Linked DNA regions of Saccharomyces cerevisiae S288C. The protein of the gene in region 1 interacts with the protein of each later gene in a biochemical or structural test. Each region holds a gene or a part of one and is shown on either strand. Other genes may lie near its edges.

The links.
Region 2: the proteins of CLF1 (region 1) and YJU2 form a complex in vitro, tested with the Saccharomyces cerevisiae proteins (one study listed by BioGRID).

What each region holds. Positions count from the first base shown.
Region 1 is NC_001144.5:379,439-388,918, forward strand, and holds CLF1 (Clf1p), read right to left. Parts: upstream 5,097-9,480; coding exon 3,033-5,096; downstream 1-3,032. Other genes in the region: cleavage polyadenylation factor subunit CFT2, read left to right, coding at 1-1,126; mRNA splicing protein MSL5, read left to right, coding at 1,384-2,814; TML25 (palmitoyl-(protein) hydrolase), read right to left, coding at 5,287-5,970; ESCRT-I subunit protein SRN2, read left to right, coding at 6,096-6,737; YPS1 (aspartyl protease), read right to left, coding at 7,073-8,782; YPS3 (aspartyl protease), read right to left, coding at 9,306-9,480. UniProt on the Saccharomyces cerevisiae protein: Involved in pre-mRNA splicing and cell cycle progression. Required for the spliceosome assembly by promoting the functional integration of the U4/U6.U5 tri-snRNP particle into the U1-, U2-dependent pre-spliceosome.
Region 2 is NC_001143.9:260,379-263,613, reverse strand, and holds YJU2 (mRNA splicing protein YJU2), read right to left. Parts: upstream 1,338-3,235; coding exon 501-1,337; downstream 1-500. Other genes in the region: YJU3 (acylglycerol lipase), read right to left, coding at 1-265; CWP1 (Cwp1p), read right to left, coding at 1,763-2,482. UniProt on the Saccharomyces cerevisiae protein: Part of the spliceosome which catalyzes two sequential transesterification reactions, first the excision of the non-coding intron from pre-mRNA and then the ligation of the coding exons to form the mature mRNA.

The DNA of each region.
Region 1 (9,480 bases):
TATGGGGGGTGACGAAGATGATGATGAAGAGGAAGAAAACGACAATTTGTTGAATTTACTCAAGGATAACTCTGAGAAATCAGCAGCGAAAAAAAATACGGAAGTTCCTGTAGACATTATAATTCAACCAAGTGCCGCTTCAAAACATAAAATGTTCCCATTTAACCCCGCTAAAATCAAGAAAGATGATTATGGTACTGTTGTAGATTTTACGATGTTTTTACCTGATGATTCTGACAATGTTAATCAAAATAGCAGGAAAAGACCTCTCAAAGACGGTGCTAAAACCACGAGCCCTGTAAACGAAGAAGATAACAAAAATGAAGAAGAAGATGGTTATAATATGAGTGATCCAATTAGCAAAAGGAGCAAACACCGTGCTTCTCGTTACTCGGGATTTTCTGGAACCGGAGAAGCAGAAAATTTTGATAACCTTGACTATTTAAAGATAGACAAAACGCTCTCCAAAAGAACAATCTCAACTGTAAATGTCCAATTGAAATGCTCCGTAGTAATCCTAAATTTACAGAGTTTAGTTGATCAAAGGTCTGCATCTATTATATGGCCATCGCTAAAATCTAGAAAAATAGTTCTTTCCGCCCCCAAACAGATTCAAAATGAAGAAATTACGGCAAAACTTATCAAGAAAAATATTGAAGTGGTCAACATGCCATTAAATAAGATAGTGGAATTCAGTACAACAATAAAGACCCTGGATATCTCCATTGACTCCAACCTCGATAACCTTTTGAAATGGCAACGTATCAGTGATAGTTATACAGTTGCCACTGTCGTTGGCAGGCTGGTTAAGGAGAGCCTACCGCAAGTGAACAATCATCAAAAAACAGCGTCAAGGAGTAAACTAGTCTTGAAACCATTACACGGTTCATCTAGGAGCCATAAAACAGGTGCGTTGTCAATCGGTGACGTTAGGTTAGCACAATTAAAGAAACTTCTCACAGAGAAAAACTACATTGCAGAATTTAAAGGGGAAGGTACACTTGTCATAAATGAAAAAGTAGCAGTCCGCAAAATCAATGATGCAGAAACTATTATCGATGGTACGCCTTCCGAACTTTTTGATACTGTCAAAAAATTGGTTACGGATATGTTAGCAAAAATCTAGCCTTCTTGTATACAGCACAAATAAAAGGTTCAATTTACGTTCGTGGACTGCCCACAAAACAGTATGTGACATAAATTGCTGTGTATCTCGCACCGCTATTATCTGTATATAACATTCTAACTCACTTTTAACGATATTAGCATTATTGATTTCTTTCTTTTTCTGCTGAATTTCACCAAGCGGAAATTTTCAAAGCAGAATTTTTTCCCTAATTTGCTACAAGTGCTATTCTATCCCACAATAAAAGGAAATTGTTGATGAGTTTTAGAAGGATTAACTCTAGATACTTTGAAAATAGAAAAGGAAGCAGTATGGAAGAAAAAAAAGCAAAGGTTCCTCCAAACGTCAACCTTTCGTTATGGAGAAAGAACACGGTAGAAAGCGATGTCCATCGATTCAATTCTCTTCCATCAAAAATTAGTGGGGCCCTAACTAGGGAACAAATATACTCCTATCAAGTCATGTTTAGGATTCAAGAAATTACCATCAAACTGCGTACGAACGATTTTGTGCCCCCCTCCAGGAAAAATAGGTCACCTTCTCCGCCACCAGTTTATGATGCCCAAGGTAAAAGAACGAATACCCGTGAGCAGAGGTATAGAAAGAAACTAGAGGATGAACGTATTAAACTTGTTGAGATAGCCCTAAAGACCATCCCTTACTTCGTTCCTCCGGATGATTACAAGAGACCTACCAAATTTCAGGACAAGTATTATATCCCGGTGGATCAGTATCCTGATGTCAATTTTGTTGGTTTATTATTAGGTCCTCGTGGACGTACGTTAAGAAAGCTGCAAGAAGATTCGAATTGTAAGATTGCAATTAGAGGAAGAGGTTCAGTCAAAGAAGGTAAGAATGCAAGTGACTTACCTCCAGGCGCCATGAACTTTGAGGACCCCTTGCACTGTTTAATTATCGCAGACTCGGAAGACAAGATCCAAAAAGGTATAAAAGTTTGTCAAAACATTGTTATCAAAGCGGTGACATCTCCGGAAGGCCAGAATGACTTGAAACGAGGACAACTGAGAGAATTGGCGGAACTTAATGGTACTTTAAGAGAAGATAACAGGCCCTGTCCAATCTGTGGTTTAAAAGATCATAAAAGGTACGATTGTCCAAACAGAAAAATCCCAAATATACAGGGCATTGTTTGCAAAATATGTGGACAAACTGGACATTTCAGTAGAGACTGTAACTCATCGTCTCAAAGAATGAGCCGTTTTGACAGAAACGCCACGGTAAATAATTCTGCGCCAATACAGAGCAATGACGTACACTATAATAGCAATACTCATCCAATTCAAGCACCAAAAAGATCTCGTTATGACAATAACTCGACGGAACCTCCTTTAAAATTTCCGGCTTCTTCACGTTATGCACCATCACCTTCACCTCCTGCGTCACATATTTCGAGGCAAGCTCAAAACGTGACGCCTACACCCCCTCCCGGCCTAACATCAAGTAGCTTTAGTTCCGGAGTTCCAGGAATCGCCCCTCCCCCATTACAAAGCCCTCCAGAGTCGGAACAACCGAAATTTTCGCTACCTCCACCTCCCGGTATGACTACGGTACAATCCTCAATTGCACCTCCTCCTGGCCTAAGCGGTCCTCCAGGGTTTTCTAATAACATGGGCAATGACATTAACAAACCTACACCTCCGGGACTGCAAGGGCCTCCCGGATTATAATACACTCCCATTATACAATATCTGCATTTTTTTTTATTTGTGTTGAAGGTATGTAGTCTCTATTTTGCATAGTTCCTTTTTTTGTTGGTTTTTTGCCTTCCTGGTTATTATTAACTTTTGATATTTAATTTACTTACTAGCTTATTCTACTACTGTTTAGTTTCTACGGCCTGAACTACAATGACAAAAATATTATTTCACGATACCCTTACCTTTATTCAAAGTGCCTGTTCCTGTTTCCATTTTTTGGCTAGTTCCAAGAACTTTGATGGTTTTGGCTTGTCATCATCGATATCATCAGGAAAAATGTAATCCACGAATTCTTCTTCCACACCGTTCTGTAACCTCACTTTTTTGATTACTTTAGGGAATCTTTTCTTGACGGTTTCTTGATCGAGTTCAGTACCGTAAGTTTCTTCATAGTCTTTTAGCGCTTCCAAAATAGACAGTCTCCCTTGTTTATCATCCTTCTCCTTGAAAAAAACTATCGCCTCTTCAAAAACTTTTCTTGCCTCCAATTTATTCTCATCGGTAATTTCAAACTCTATGTCTTCATCCACATTTTCGCTTTGCAGTTTTGCTAAATCTAATAGTTGTTGCTCCGTCGGGGTTGAAGTTTGATACATGGCGAATTCGATCCAGCTTTGGGGGGAATATTGGTTGAGCTCCAAATATCTTCTATAAAGCTTCCTTGCCTTTTCAAATTCTTGTGATTCTGTCTCAAATGTTATGTATTTTTGAAGTAATACAATTTTAGCCTCCTTTGTTAAGAAATCAGAATTTTCATCTAGTGCAATTGTATATATACCTCTTACTCTATCCCAATCTCCTAAATTTTCTTCTAGTTCTCCATATTGTGACCAAATTTGTAGATCAGAGGGCTGAAATTCAATAAATTTCTCATATATTTTTCTCACACGATCAAATTCCTTCAACTTCACTTCCAACTCGATATATCCTTTGAAAGTTTTAGCCTTAGGACATAAACCGATTGCTTTACCCAAAATTTTTCTCGCCTTCGGTACATCATCATGTCGTATCAGAAATTTAGCATACATTAGCCATATTTTGGAAAAAGTGAAATGTTTATGAGGGATGATGTCGTCAATTAACCTCTGAAAAAGTTCTTCTTCTAAAAGCGAATTTTCCAATTCTAACTCAACATAGCATATATATCTCATCCACAGATAAATATACCTTTTCCACTGAACATTTTTTGATAGTTCTTTTGGTCGGCTGTCCACAATAGCTTTCTCGAAAGTTTGCATTATTTGTTTGGGGAAACTTTCTGAAATGAGATCCAAGTACAGCCACCAGGTGTCATAATCATAGGCGTTATTACTCAATATTGTTTCATACTCCATTTTCCTTTTATAGCTAATAGTTTCTTCTATTGAGTTTATGTCACCAAACTGCTTTTCAAAATCCAACAGTCCTGCCTTGAGCAATTGATTGGAGGGCCATTTTTCTATAGCAATTTGATAAAGAGCACTAGATCTTTCGTATTCTTGCTGCGCAGCTTCCCAATGAGCAAATGAATTTACTAATTTTGCAACCTCCATATCAGACCAAATCTGTAAATTTTGGAGGTTAGCTACTGTGTCTATCGCTAAAGAATACACACTTCTCGTAAATTCAGTATTACCATGTCTATTTTCAAACCTCACCCACTTTAGCCATGTCTGCATTTGCGGGTGAGCCATGACGTATTTTGAGTAAATCTCTCTTACACCGTTCCAGTTTTTCTGTCTTATTTCAAAATCCACGAAAGAATTCCATGCATTAACCCCTGGCTCCAAGGAGCACCATTTGGTGTACAGTGATCGTACAATTTCAACGTTGTTTAACGACTCTTCGACAATGAGATACTTGTACCATAACTTGTCTACTCTGGGCAACGTACTAATAGCTCTGTTCATAAGATTCCTAGCATGGTTAATACATTTGACTTTCAGCTCAGCATCAATGTATCGTATCCAAAGGGGGATGAATGAACTATCTACTAATAATGCTCTTTCAAAGATAGATCTGGCGCGCCTCATGTCGTGTTGTTCGATTTCGAATTGCGCATAACGAATCCATTGTCCCATATCCAGTCGGTTTCTCTTCAAATAACCCTCATATTCTGTTCTCTTCCTTCGTTGATACTCTCGAAGTTCCTCCAAGTCTAATATATCAATATTAGTCGATCCTCTTGCTTTTTGCCCCTTCTTGTACACATCCCGCAGAATCTGCTCCGCAGAAACATGCGTATCAACGGCTGTTGGCTCTAAAGTGTCCATGCTGGCAATAGTAGAGTACTTTTAGCTCAAGTTTGTCTATCTATTATGAACTTGCATAATCAATGAGTCTCATCACCCCAACTATTTGGCACCAAGGTTTTTAATTTTCTATCGCGTCTTACGGATGTATATAAATTATTTAACCAAGTATAATAGCGGTTAAATTGAACTCGCAATATTAGGAAAAGAGCTATGATGATAAGCTCTTCTTGATAAATGAAGCCAAGTCTTCTAATTCATCTGGAACTGTAGAATGGGCCATACCTTTGTATACTTTAAATTCATAATTTTGTATCTCACAGCTATCTTGATAGAACTGTTTTGCCTTTATACCTAGTCCAATAGGAACTACTGGATCCATGTCACCATGCCCATGAAAAATTGGTGTCTTTACATTAATGCCATTCTTATGTTGTTTCAGAATTCCTGGGATGGAACAAAATCCCGACAGAGCTACTATACCACCGATTTTCCATGGTAAAGTAACTGATGTTGCGAGAGCTAATGCGGCACCCTGAGAGAAACCTCCGATAATAATCTGCTCCGGTTTAATTCCTTTATCAATTTCTTGCTTAACCGTCTTTTCTATGGAATTCAAAGAATTCATAAAACCGTCACTGTCAACTTTGGAAAAACTAGGATCCCATTCCAAGATGTCAAACCAAGCAGGCATCAATGCACCGCCGTTTGCTGTCACATGAAGCTCTGGAGCATTAGGAAAAACAAAATTAGTATGCTGGAAAGCGGCAGGGTCTCTCTGTTGTAAATACTGAGCTAAAAATCCCCATCCCGAACCTGTATCACCTAATCCATGCAAGAATATGATAGTTTGGCGTGCTGGCTGAATTTTTGCTGCAACTCTAAGTCCATTCATATTCGATAGCGCTCAAATGGGCAAATATAGTGTATGTGTTCTTATTTTCGTTCTCTTTTGCTAACATTTTTATTTCATACAGAAGCCATTTTTCCCTAGAATAGGCGTTCTGAAAAGAAGGAAATATGAAAGTAAAGGCTACAAAACTAAGGATAAAACAACGAAGGAAAAATAAGGGGCTCAATATAAGCAGATTAGATATTATCAGAGCAGAAATGGATGTGGTACCATCTCCGGGTTTACCAGAAAAAGTAAACGAAAAAAGCAAAAATATTCCCTTACCTGAAGGAATTAACCTTTTATCATCAAAGGAGATAATCGATCTAATTCAAACCCACAGACACCAATTAGAGTTATACGTCACAAAATTCAATCCCTTAACGGACTTTGCTGGAAAGATTCATGCATTCAGAGATCAATTTAAACAATTGGAAGAAAATTTTGAAGATTTACATGAGCAAAAAGATAAGGTCCAAGCCTTATTAGAAAACTGTAGGATTTTAGAATCCAAATATGTAGCTAGCTGGCAAGATTACCATTCCGAATTTTCAAAAAAATATGGTGACATAGCATTAAAAAAGAAATTAGAACAAAACACAAAGAAACTTGATGAGGAGAGTTCACAGCTAGAAACTACCACAAGGTCCATTGACTCAGCCGATGACCTGGATCAGTTCATCAAAAATTATCTGGACATACGAACACAATATCACTTGAGGAGAGAGAAACTGGCGACCTGGGATAAACAAGGTAATTTGAAATACTAGTTCAGCAGCTACCGCCATTATCAATATGTACGTATATAGACTATACTTTATAGATTATTCTAGATGCCAAACGAATTATTAGAATATTAAAGCCTTTGATTATAGGCCATATCCCAGGTAAATAGTATACTAGGAATGAGAAAAAAAAATGTGAATAAATGGTAACCTATTCTTAGTGGGTAAGATAAACTATTGTGAAGTAAAAATGAAGACCGCCAACGTAACAATAAAAAATTAATAATAAAAAAAAACTTTGCCCAAGCGAGAGCAACGATTTCCGCCAGAAACTCCAACTGGCTTGGAGATGTGAATGTCTAAACTTTGTGCAACGGTTTTCAGATGAATGCAAAAAGAAGAGAAATTAATGTGAGGGGTAAAGATGGAACTATATGATCACCAACATTTCTTTTACTTGATGTAGAAGTGGCGGATGCAGTACTGGTCGTCAGGTTACCGCTAAAGGAAGCAGTTTGTGAGGAATTTACAGTAAATATGTTACCACCGGTAACAATAGATGCACTTGTGGACCAAGTGTTTGTATAGCCTGGTGCCTTTACGGCGCTTGGAACAGAGGATGTAATAATTTCGATATTTTCGCTTGTGGTATTATAGCGAGCTTGTGCCATGGATATTTCAAGATTCTCCAAATCATAAACCACGTACGCGTTAGTCAAAAATGAATCACCCAAAATGGTACCTGTGTCATCACTCGTTGGGATAATACCTAAAAGACATGTAGTGCCAGTACTCAAGATAAAACTCGAAAGTGGTGCATTGATGTGAAAACCACCAAAATCGAACACTATTTCCATACTATCATCAGATGGACAGTCCAATACGTAATACCCTATCCTGGAAGAGTATTGCGCACCTAGTTCAGTAGCGATCATACTTACCACTGTTTGAGGTAAATAAGTCAAAGTAGTACCGGAATCCAACAAAGCAGGTATTTTAGTGGTAGTCAAGGTCTTGTTACTACTCCCAGAATCACTAATACCGATACCATTAATAGTGACATCAAATTGAATGGGAGAGCTAAATCCACTAGCACTCAGAGTGTTTACGATGGGGATTGTGTATAAGGTGCCGGTATATTTACTGTGGTCCACGGCTCCGAACAAAATGGTGCCATGCATAGCGTCCGAGTCGTTCAAATACAAAGAATATGTGTTGCTTTTGATAGCACCAGAATTTTTCAATACAATGGGGAAGTTGTCGTATTTATAAGCTTTTCCACTATGAGACGCAGTAGAGCCAGAATAAGTGACTTCTAATTCGGGCAAACCAATACCTAACACACCCATAGTAGAATTCGTTTCATTGGCAACGGCAAAAGACAACCCGGTAACGTTCAAGTCGCTTAAATCCAAAACATCCGTACCAAAAGTACCGGAGGCAAAAGTCCCATCACCGTAGCTAATACTGAAATAGGTGTTGTTTGATCTAAATGTAGAAGAGCCCGAAGTGGAAAATGTCCCGTATTGTTGACAGTCCATGGTGGCTTCCGAAGCAGGCACGGATTGAGTTGCCGTACCTGAACCGCCTCCTAAGCCCGTAGCAGTGGGGCCAATGGCACTGCCCGTTCCCGTCAACCAGCCAAATGGGTTTATATCATTAATCAAAGATCCGCCGCTTGACGAATCATCACGTTTGTCAATAACACGTCTCCGGCTACTACCCATACTGTTCGAAGAACAGTATGGATTATCCGAGCCCATAATCCATAGATCAGAGGAGCCTGTGTCCACCAGGACCGTTACGTTCTGTGGTGGCGTGCCCACTTCCAAGTCCACCGAATAGAAACTTTGCTGGTTGGTAATTATAATTTCTTCATAACCGTCAGCCCTCTTCAATAGGCGTACTTCCGGTTTTTTGTCGCTTCCCACATTTTCTAGCGAGTCCCCGTAAAGCTTATGAAAGGGCAACTTGACGAACTTGGAATTCGAGTCGTCGTCGCGCTTGTTTGCTGCTGGTATTATCTTACCGAGAACCTGCGATGCAAAGAGTGACGAAAGGACCGCAGATCTTACAGTTTTCAGTTTCATATGTGGTAGGTAATATTATACTATATGCTTGGTGTTCACCTTATCTTTTTATTACGCTATGTATTTTAATATACAGAAAAGCCAATTGCGTTCTTCTTAATAACCGTCCAATTGCGGAAATAGGAACAAATGCAAAAAGAAGGAAAAAAGTAAATCCTCTTTGACACCCTTTTCTTAAGTAGTCGGATTTCCCTGTTTCTCCATAAATAAGTCCACGAATTTTTTTATGAAACCTCAATTTTTTCGGACACATCAGTGAAACGAAAACTACTCATGGCGCAGTATAAAAGGAGCGAAAAGCCACTCAGTTGAGTGGACGAGGGAGGTGAGGTGGTGACAGAAAAGAGGAGGAAGGAGGCAGTGCTATGTGAGGGTGTCTTGGCTGCATGCAAGGTCTGACGATCTAATTGACGCGTCAGAACGTGTGTTTTAGGAATATTCTTATTTAAGTATGCTTTTCCTCTTGAAATCGCGCAAAGAAGGAAAGGAAAAAGTGTCTATATATAGTGTCTATTGTTTTTTTTTACGAAAAGAAAACGGAAAGGATGAGTAAGGAGGGGACTAGCAGTAAACCCAAGGTAGAGCGTATACTGGAAGCGGAGTTGGTAGCAGCCCTCTGGAGTGCCCTCTTGCTTTTATGAGTCGACTTTGCAGTAGTGGTAGAGTTTGTCTTCTTGGTGGTGGTTGACCTCGTAGTG
Region 2 (3,235 bases), on another chromosome or scaffold:
CACCTTTCGATCTGCCCGGCGATGTAACACCAGCACCCCTTTGATCAAACGTAAATGACTCGTAACCATTGAGTGATAAGTGGTCCATAAGCCGGAATTGAATCTTTGTGTACTCGCCAAACCCATGAATCAGTAAAACTCTACCTCTGACCTCATTGGTGCCATTTTGAACAGGCCAGAACATGTACCCGAACTTAGCACCATCAAAGTTTTCGTATTGAAGTTCAGGTACTGTCGTCTGCACTTTGTATGGATACGGAGCCATGCTTTTCTATTTGTCCTCGGTTTGTGTGGCTTTGGCTTGCTTTAGTCAACAATGGCTTTTCCGATATGTATTCATTTATAAGAAAATTCAATGAAAAAACGGCCAGACACTTCGAAGTCCGAAGGGGCTGTCGCCCCTCGTAAGTAGCGATGGACGCTATAGTGTGGAAGCAACCACAGTAGCACAGCATCACAAGAGATCATGATACCAATCGTACGTTCCTTACTTTTCTAGGTCATTTGAGAGACTTTCCTCGTTTTATAACTATCCCTAACGGATTCGTACGCACAGAGCTTTTCTTCTGTATTTTTCCCTTAGTGGATGTAGGATTAAACAACGGAGTTCTCTTCTCATCGTTGTTATTGCCAGGTTTATTGGTACGCTGCCTGTGATTGTCAAATACCTGATCTACGAGGTTGTCCAGATCATCAGTCGTTACTGCTTTTTCTTGTTGTGCGTGTTTGCTGCGGTTTATCATTTCAGCTCTCTGGCTCATTTCAAGGTTTTTTTTCCTTAAATTTTCAAGTTCCTCATCATCCTCTTGCTCTTGTTGAATTTTGGCTAGTCTTTTTTCCAGCAAATCCATTTTGTCATCTGCTTGCTCCTTTATACCCATCTTCTCGTTCTGCTCCATTTCCTTCTCTCTCACTAAGCGTTGCAGTGTCTCGTCTATGCTTTCGACAGCTGTTTTAGCGTTCAGGTCATCATTTGGTTTCTGAGGGACATAGTTTCTTACGCCCCCCACTTCCATTACATAATCTGAATTACCGGGGTCTGTTCTAAATGCAATGGAATTGGCACAACGTGGACATGAAATGGTTAGTCTATATATCTTAATGGAGTCCAGGTACTTCTCCTTCAGTAGCTCTTTCTTACCATTGAATTTTCTGCTTTTGGGAATATATTCGTTACATTCCAAACACCTCATACTAAATGGGGTCATTAATCTAATCGATGCGTGGCTCTTATTCATGGTTTTCAGTTTTTTAGCCATTTTCCTGGATAGCTTTTCAGCTTCCAGTGGGTTGTAATCCGGTGGATAGTACTTGTTAATAGCTTTTCTTTCAGACATTCTTGTATTCTCCTATCAGCCTGGAAACGGTTAATTTGGTTTGACTTATTAGTTCGTTCTACTGAGGTCACCGTAGTGATTTCTTGCTTTTTTTCGAATATGTACAATAAATAACAACTCTATGCGTATTAGCAGTCAGTGGAACAAACTTGAGATAGCTACTCTTATCTCCTTTTCTGTATATCCATCTTTCTACATGCAGCAGAGAAACCGCCGGCGGGACATTCACCTACTTTTCTACAAGTTTAAATTTTTCAAGCGAATCGGGGAATGTGAGAGCTGCATGCAAGAAAAGGAATGTAGGTAGGAGGACAATGTAAGAGAATATTATGGGCCATTTCATATTACATTACGCTATATGTAAGTGATCATTATGTAGAAAGCTATATTGAAGGAAATAAAACATGCAGGTTTTGTTCTCGTACTTACAACAAGTAAGCAGCTGCGACCGCTAGAGCACCAGCACCCATGCCGACGGCAGCCTTGGCACCTGCATTTTCTGTTTGTTCGTAAACTGTGTTTGGAGCTTGGATTTGTCCATCAGTAATTTGAGAGATAACTGAAGCAGTTGGGGAGCTAGCAGAGGAAGTTTCCACAGTAGTAGAGGTCTCGACAGATTCTATACTCGAACTATGCTTTGTAGAAGATGATGCGGAAGCAGACGAAGCAGAAGCAGATGAAGAGGAACTAGAGTCGCTTGGAGAAAAATCTGCTGCAACAGATCCGCTCTTACTAGTTGGTCTAATCGCAACACCGGTAGCGTCGTCGGATTGCTTAGAAGAGAAAATGTAAGACGACCCGTCCTTGATAGCGTAGAAACCAGAAGAGCTCTTGTAGTTTAGATGGCCATCTTTAATAGAAAAACCAGTGGCAGCATCGCTCTCAGAACCTTCTTTGAATGAGCCATCCTCATTGACAACAGCATACTTATCGTCGTCAAATTTCAGTTTACCGTCATCGGTAATAGTTGCCTCAAATGAGCCACTACCGCTGCCAAGTTTCAAAGTGCCGTTATCACTGTAAACACTCAAGTATTGTAAATCCGAGCCGGAACGGATACTCACCAGGCCGAATTCTTCGGAATCGGCAATGACCATCTTAGCCAAGGCGAATAAAGCGACAGACAAAGCAGTGGAGAATTTCATTATTGTTTTTTGAGACTTTCGTAGTATTTATTAGTTTGTTACGGGATATTTTACTTCAGACAGAAAAAAAATTCAAGGAAGATAGCGAAAGAAAGAAACGTTAAGATCGTCCTTTAAATAATTGAGATTTTGTTTGTTTGCTTTTTTTTTTTCTGCACCACAAATTATCAAAATTAAAAGGTGAAAAAACACTACATTGAACGTGAACCACAGAGCTTATTGTTTGTTGTTTTTTTTGTTTTCTTTTGTGGCACCTTCGAGATGGCTCTCCTGGAGTAAGTTACCGTTGTGGGACAACCCGCACGCACAGACGTAAGCGGACCCGTATTCCAATCGGGCCGAAGGGCCCTTTTCGTTCAGGGAGCTGTGGCTAACGCTATTTTTAGTTATGACGTACGGTGCGGCACCATCTATAACGCGAAGAAGTACTTTTTTTAGCTCTCTTTTTTTGTTTTCGCGGGAGGGGTTTGTTTATTATGATATTTTAACGGGATAGAAGGTCGAGCACACAATGTTTGCCGTCAAGAGGGGTATCTGCTTCTATATTCGTAACTTTCCAGATGTCCGATTTTTTTTTTCATTATTACCTCGAGCTACGATTCGGTACACATACATTCTTATTTTGAAACTTGTTCACCATATCTTTGCAAAAATTAATGAGATTCCAATGTTATGTATGGGTGAAGTATAAGACGTGGTTGCAGCATCCCTTAGTATTTGTCTAGTGGGGTTCTTCACTACTTACTCTTGAAG